Linked DNA regions of Danio rerio. The protein of the gene in region 1 interacts with the protein of each later gene in a biochemical or structural test. Links are inferred from orthologs where the notes say so. Each region holds a gene or a part of one and is shown in the gene's direction. Other genes may lie near its edges.

The links. The genes of interacting proteins can lie anywhere in the genome.
Region 2: the proteins of npm1b (region 1) and hmga2 interact in far-western blotting, tested with the Homo sapiens proteins (2 studies listed by BioGRID). The link is inferred for Danio rerio from reciprocal best matches to the Homo sapiens genes NPM1 and HMGA2.

Annotation. Positions count from the first base shown.
Region 1 is NC_133189.1:6,162,400-6,165,914, reverse strand, and holds part of npm1b (nucleophosmin 1b), read left to right. Parts: intron 1-2,886; coding exon 2,887-2,980; intron 2,981-3,371; coding exon 3,372-3,469; intron 3,470-3,515. UniProt on the Homo sapiens protein: Involved in diverse cellular processes such as ribosome biogenesis, centrosome duplication, protein chaperoning, histone assembly, cell proliferation, and regulation of tumor suppressors p53/TP53 and ARF.
Region 2 is NC_133179.1:13,434,525-13,438,768, reverse strand, and holds the start of hmga2 (high mobility group protein HMGI-C), read left to right. Parts: upstream 1-1,438; 5' UTR 1,439-1,890; coding exon 1,891-2,007; intron 2,008-4,244.

The DNA of each region.
Region 1 (3,515 bases):
TGTTAGAATGAGAAGTGAAAGCTGGAGAACAGGTGTGTTTCAGGACACGGATTAGATCAAATGTAACCAGGAGGGAAGATAATACATTTCTACGCACACAAACGCATGCTTTTTGTCGGCAAAGTGCATGTGATCACTCATCCATCAATTTTAAAAAAAGTTATGTAAAATTATAATTTTCGTAAATTTAAAAAAAAAAAAATATTCGCATGCTGACCGCCGGGAAACTCCCGATCATCGATATATGTATATATGTTTATATATCTCTGGCTCTGGATGTCCAGTCCTCCACTGCACCTTGGTCTGCATCCATTTCAAAGGAGCGCTACCCTGTACTAAAATGGCGGCTCCATTAACACATTCTTTCCAATAGACAACAACAGGGTAGGCAACATCTAATGTCAATATCTATGGGTTGTAATAACTAAAACCCTTTTCCCGAAGTTCCTAAATGAAATGCCTACTTTACTAAATCCAATCAGCTTGCAGTAGAAAAAAAGCCGCGCCCACTTTTTGCTCATGTAATATTTAGTTTCTCTACGAACTGCGTCACAATTTAAGGAAAAAAAGGGTTGCAGCTTCCGGTTCATGCAGACTTTAAAACTTTTCCTAATTTTCAAATCCGTATTTATTGTTGTTTCAGTGATGAATGTAAGATCTTGGATTTTACTCCCAGGATAACTGACTCAAAAAAAAAAAAAAAAAATGTAGAGCAATAATTGTAGCGTAATTAGGCGGTTTTGTCTGGATTGCTCTAGAGACAATCAGCTCATCAGTCAGCGTTTGTGTTGAAACGGATCATCTGAGATGATTCTGGACATGAGGGATTGCTCGCCATTCAACGTAATTGCAACAGTTCCATAGCTGTCATTTAAAGCATTAAGCAGACCATCGCGCCCTCAGCTGTTTACATCTGGTTGCCATCGATGCAAGGGCCGTTGCCTGGCGCGTTGGAATGTTCATTCAAAATTGTTGGCCGTGGCTTGTATTTCTCCAATTGCGCAATTCTGATGTTTAGCTGTAGGCCTGTCTCAGATGTACTGGCATGGAATGTTCAGGACGAATCCTAGTCATGAATTCTTTCTTGGAAGGAATTCTCGCTTGTTTTTGTTGGGAATTATTCATCATCTGAATTTTTTTATTTATTTATATTTTTTGCAAAGCATTGGCACAGAAAGAACATGTTTTAATTTTTAATTTTTTGTGTTACTGTTGCCATTACAAGGTCTGATTTCATTACAAATCAGTTATCTTTACTACCTGTTTGATATAGGATGTAAAGCAGGTCTCAGACTGGACAAAAAGCAATGCATTAAATTCCATTTTTCCCTGCCATGTCTTTAAAATATGAAAATGTTCACTCATAGGCCACTTTATTAGGTACACCTTACTAGTACTGGGCTGGACCCCCTTCAGAACTGCCTTAACCCTTCATGGCAAAGATTCAACAAGGTACTAGAAATATTCCTCAGAGATTTTAGTCCATATTGACATGATAGCATCATGCAGTTGCTGCATATTTGTCGGCTGCACGTGCTTGCTGCGAATCTCCCATTCCACCCACTCCCAATGGTGCTCTATTGGATTAATATCTGGTGATTTTGGAGGTCATTTAAGTACAGTCAACTCATTGTCATGTTAAAAAAAAAAAGAAGTCTGAAATGATTTGCTCTTTATGGCATGGCGCGATGTCCCGCTTGAAGTAGCCATCAGAAGATGGGTACACAGTGGTCATAAGAATGAACATGGTCAGCAACAATACTCAGTTGCTCAATTGGTACTAATGGGCCCAAAGTGTACCAAGAAAATATCCCCCACTCCATTACACCACCACCACCAATCATTCTGAACCATTGATACAAGGCAGGATAGATCCATGCTTTTATGTTGTTGATGCCTAATTCTGACCCTACCATCCGAACTCGCAGCAGAAATCGAGACTCCTCAGACCAGGCAACGTTTTTCCTATCTTTGATTGTCCAATTTTGGTGAGTCTGTGCGATTTGTAGCCTCAGTTTCCTGTTCTTAGCTGGTCTTCTGGTGCTGTAGCCCATCTGCCTCAAGGTTGGACATATTGTGTGTTCAGAGATGCTCTTCTGCATACCTCAGTTGTGTCGAGTGGTTATTTGAGTTACTGTTGTCTTTCTATCAGCTCAAACCACTCTGGCCATTCTCCTCTGACTTCTGGCTCAGTTTATATTTTATCATTTTCTGACCATTCTCTGTAAACCCTAGAGATGGTTGTGCGTGAAAATTCCAGTAGATCAGCAGTTTCTGAAATACTCAGACCAGCCCGTCTGGCACCAACATGCCACATTCAAAGACACTTCAATCACCTTTCTTCCCCATTCTGATGCTCGCTTTGAACTGCAGCCGTTTGTCTTGACCATGTCTACATGCCTAAATGCATGGAGTTGCTGCCATGTGATTGGCTGATTAAAAATTCGCATTAACGAGTAGATGGACAGGTGTACCTAATAAAGTGACCTATGAATGGATATTATGCCCAGTATTTCTAATGAAGCTTCTGTGCTAGACTGCTGCTTCTGACGGCACTAGTGTTTACATGATCCTTCATCTCGTTTTACGCTTGAACAACTAACTAAATGCTTAAGTCTATTTAACTGATTGTATTTTAACTACATTACATCATCGATGCTGTAAGACAGGGGTGTCCAAAGTCAGTCCTGGAGGTTCTCCAGGACACCGGCCCTCCAGGACAGAGTGTGGACACCTCTGCTGTAAGAGGAAAGTTATGAAATAAAATTGATAGTCACATTAACCTTTCAGAAGTTTATCAATGGCTGAAAAACACTAGCTGTGCGCATTGCCCATTACATTTCCATTGTGTTTGTTGAAAGAGATCCTTCCCTTTTTCATCTTTAGTTAAGTCTGGGCGGTTTTGAGGTCACTCCTCCTGTGTCCTTTCGTCTGCAGTCCGGAGGGGGGCCGGTCTACATCAGCGGTCAACATTTTGTCAGTGAGTACCATTTGTCTTCTCTCATTGGTTAAAAAAGAAACGGACACATGCACTCAAAACAAAGAGTTCAGGAGGACCATTTCCCATGTGTGTCTTTTGCTTCTCTTGTTTGCTCTTCATCTCTCTGTGATGGAACGATTCTTTCTACCTATTGCAGTGTCCATGGGATTAATCTGACCCCGCTCTCTCTCTCTCTTTCTCTACACAGACTCAAAAGTGAATTATAAATTACCATGCGACTCCATTTATGCCTGTATAATCGCTTCCATATGTTTTGCTCATGCTGTTCAGACACTTTCAGCATGTCGCTCCATTCTGTGGATGTTAGCATTTAGGCCTGCCACTTACAGATGTCAGAATATTGATGCCTCCAACTCTGTGGTTTGCTCAGGTGTCAAGGAGTCAGATGATGAGGATGAGGAGGAAGAGGAGAACAACACTTCACCGGTGAAGAGACCGTCCAACATGACCCTCGCCAAAGTGCCTCAGGTGATCTGTCCTTAACTTCACCTTAAATAACAATTGATACTTTTGG
Region 2 (4,244 bases), on another chromosome or scaffold:
AACGTAACTATTTCATGTTTTGCCAGTTTAGTGACGAATTCGCACAAATTCAGTCTGTAAGATTTTTAAAAGGAGGCGTGGCACCCAACCCCATCCCTAAACCAAACCATCATTGGGGATAAGCAAATCATACTAAATTGTACGAATGAGATCGTACGATTTCATATGAATTAGACACTAAATGGAAAAAGTTGTGAATTGCATTGAGAAAGCCATGTTTTTTTTCCCAAAAAGAACGAAAACATAACGTGTATCAAGTGTTGACCATTTTATAATTGTTATATAATTTTTCTTCTATAATAAATGAAAACGCACAAAGTGTGACAAAGTCACAAAGTCGAATGCGTATTTAAGCATTTATGTGGATAGATGACATACAAAGTTAATGCAAATGTGTGAATAGAGGCGAAATTACGCAAAATGTGCAAGGTGTTTGCCATTTAATTTTCCCCTATCGCACATTCTGTGCGAGTTAAAAAAATAAACTGGAACAGAAAATTTAGATATGCAAAAAACATCCCGCAAGCCTGACTGATGCGATGCTTCGTGTCTGGTGTGAACCAAGCATATTCGCACCTATAATACTGTTTCTGTTTTGTGTGGCAATTTGTAGCAACTGTCATTTGAACGTTTTTTAGGAAAAAAACAAAAACAAAAAAAAAGACAATTGTTGCTCCTTTCCCAACCCTTATATTATTGATTTGTTTAATGAGTGAAAACATACAGCTGGAAAATTTCTCAACCATAAAGTTATATATATATATATATCCTTTAAAAAAATGTGGCCTTAGTGAATTTATTAATAATTCTATGTGTGATTTTTTTTACTATTAGGGTAATTCAAGTGTATTGCAAAATACTAAAAAGTGTTGAAATGTGAAATGATCTCATTGTGCGGCAAAGGCAATAGGTTTTTTTAATCTTAAATATTTGTTTCGGAAAAAGTAAAGCTACTCTTAAAAGGTATATCTAAAGCAAACTATATGAATAGGTATGGGATATGAGAATCGCAAGCACATGCAAGTTTACATATTGCTTCGATTTTTTTAAACAAACAAACAAACAAACAAACAAACAAACAAACAAACAAACAAACAAACAATCAAACAAAAAACAAAACAAAACAAATAAACAATCTAGGAAGCAGTGCTGCTATGTCTTTAAACGTGCTGGAGTGAAGCCAGTAACATGAATGGTGCTGGACACGTGAGTTTGTCTCGATGTGGTCTCTCCTCTTAGTATTTCTCATGTTTTCTCTGGCAGTTGTCCAATTCTTTTCTCTCTCTCTCTTTTTGCGCCTCTCGTGCCCCCTCCTTCCTCGTGTTATCCACCCACGGGAAAAGTGATTTTCGCCTCTCTCTCTCTCTCTCTCTCTCGTTTTTTTTTTTTTTTAAATGTATATACCTCATCCTTATCCCCAGTCTGTGGACTTATTTCCGTGTGGGAAGCAGGGATGCATTTAAAATGCCCCCATTTTTTGTTTTACTCAAACCAATCCGCGTAAAGTCTTTCCCCGCAATTTCTTGAATCCGCAGTAGCGTGGAGATCAGTCCGTGCACTGTCACACTGCGAATGTCTCGTTCAAATTGCAATCGATCACCGGGCTTATTTTATTCCTAAAGCCACCCCCACTTAATTCTACACAGGAGACTTTCCCCTCTGTGTGTGTGTGTTGTGAGCCAAATTCTCCAAACCAAGACGCAGCACGTGCTTCTCACAAACACACAACGCGCTTTAATTTATATTTTGCATGAGCGCACCGGGTTTGAACGCTTTGTTTTGCTGAGCGCGGGACACTGACCGACTGACTGACCGATCGGCCGAGAGCTCGTGCTGCGGGAACTGAAGGTGCGCGAGACTCTGTTTGGATCTCATTCACACACACACAGGATGAGCGCGCGCGGAGAGGAAGCCGCCGGCGAGGCTTCAGGATCGCAGGAGCAGCCCGAGCCTGCGCTGGCTGAGCCAAAGAAGAGGGGACCCGGCAGACCCAGAAAGCCGCAACAGGTCAGTGTGCGACTCCTTTACCTTTGCTAAATTTAGAAAGGACGCGTTTAAACGTGCTTGTAAACATTTTTAGTGTAAGCATGTTACTTTTTGCGCACTTGTTTACGCACTGCTTAAAAGCGGAACTGGCTGCAGGTGTTAAAGTAAATATGGACATTTTTTAAACTTAGTTTACACAGCTGAACACCAGGATAGTAGACCAGCATAGTAACTAAGTGTTGTTTAGGATGTTTTTATTTTTCGGCAGAATCAATATAACCAATTTGGGATGTTTTTAATTAGCTCCGTTAATTAGATTTAGTAAATCTTTATCCCCTATTAAATGCTGTGCATTGTGTTACACAAAATAAGGTATTGCATACCTTTGCACTTTTGCACACCATGTACTTTAGTACACGTTTATCTGTGTAATTCACACATAACAACCATTTTATAAAGAGAAAATCAACATCATGAGTTTAGTTTTAGTTTTTTCCTTTAATAAAAAGTCCTTACGTTATCTTTTTTTATTTCAGCACTTACATTTTGTTTATTAAAGTGCATATTTCTAATTAATGTAGATGGATTGTAAAATATTTTTAATTAATTAATGCAAGACTCACTGCTGTCACTGCTTGAAATGTCAACTACATAATGTTATGTCAAAAAAGTTTATTCTACTCAATTCAAACATGGTGTTTTTAGACAAAAGAATCTGTGCTTTGCTGTGTGCATTTAAAGTTTCTCTCTGTCGCAGTCTGAATGTATAGCCTGTACAAGTATTAGGCTTATTGTACGAGTAGCACTTGTTTGCATTTGTACAGGAAGCCCTTTTTTTCCTATAGCAGATAGCATTCCAAAATTACACGCTTGCCATCTGTTGATCACAACGCTCTATTATATGTAATGCTAATGCACTTCACAGAGTCGCTCTGGTTGTCTTAAATGTAAATGCAAATGTATATGCTGCACTACAGGCTTATTTGAATGTGCTGAGGTGAAAGCCAGTTTAGAAATGTTTAATCAGCCCAAATTTGATTTAATTTTAATATTTGAGAAATGCTGTGGATTGATATTTAGATTTTTGTTGTTGATGTGGTTACTATAACAACAAGAATGTACTTGAAATGCACCGAACATTTAACTGTTTAGTCATTACCACATCCTTCAAAAGTCTTGTTTGTGCTTGGAGGATGTGATTCACTATCTCAAGTAATTCACCAGTGAGTCACGCTTGTACCTCTAATTGCAAGTGGCCATCAGGATGAGCTGGCAAGTGGGGTTAAAAATAAATCAATCAGTCATTAAATGTTGATTTTAGTTGGCATTTACCACTGTGATAAAACAAATAGTGAATTCAAATGAATTTTCATTTAAAATGAAGATTTTATTCGGGCAGATAAATTTACTGTACTTACTTATATGTATAGTAGTAATTGCTCTTTTATTGACTCTGTTATAATTGCTTTGTTATCTTGCTGTTAGTTCAGTTTAATCTTACATGGCTACAAATTGTAAACATGTCTGTGCTCTTTGCAAGAATTATAATTAAAAACAGTTGTTGTTTTTTCTATATGCACATATGCTTATAGACACATCATTGTTTGCTCTTATCTAGTAAAGAGTGAATGGAAGACCACTGGTTAATGTGTGTATGATTGTCAGGGACCCTGTATTCTTTGAGACTGAGCAGAGTGCATATATAAACAGAAATATTTGGACAATTTTTGAAGGGCTACCTTAAAAAAAACTTTTCTATAATTTATTTATTATTTAAAATAATTTATTTATTTATTTATTTATTTATTTATTTATTTATTTATTTATTTATTTATTTATTTATTAATTTATTTATTTATTTAATTATTTATTTATTTATTTATTCATGTATCTAAGTTATAACTAAATTAATTCTAATGCAAATAACATCAAAAAATAATCAAGGTGGACTAGCACTATTTTGGAAGTATTTGGTCCTAATGTGTGCTTTTTTTATGGATGTATGTAGTCATTTCACCTCAAGCTGACACAGTAGCATAACCACAGGTGTAGTTTGTCATATTACCTAACCTAAGCACATGATCCAATAACATTTGATCTCAGGAAAGTGCTTTATCATTTGAAACCTTAAAAACTTGCTTCAAAATTGTGCTTTTGCATTTATCCAAATAAATGACTTTGGTGATAGAAAGTGGCACAGCAGTACTCTATAGATTTGTTTGCTGTTTTCATGGCCTAAGTTCACCTCCTCTCCCCTT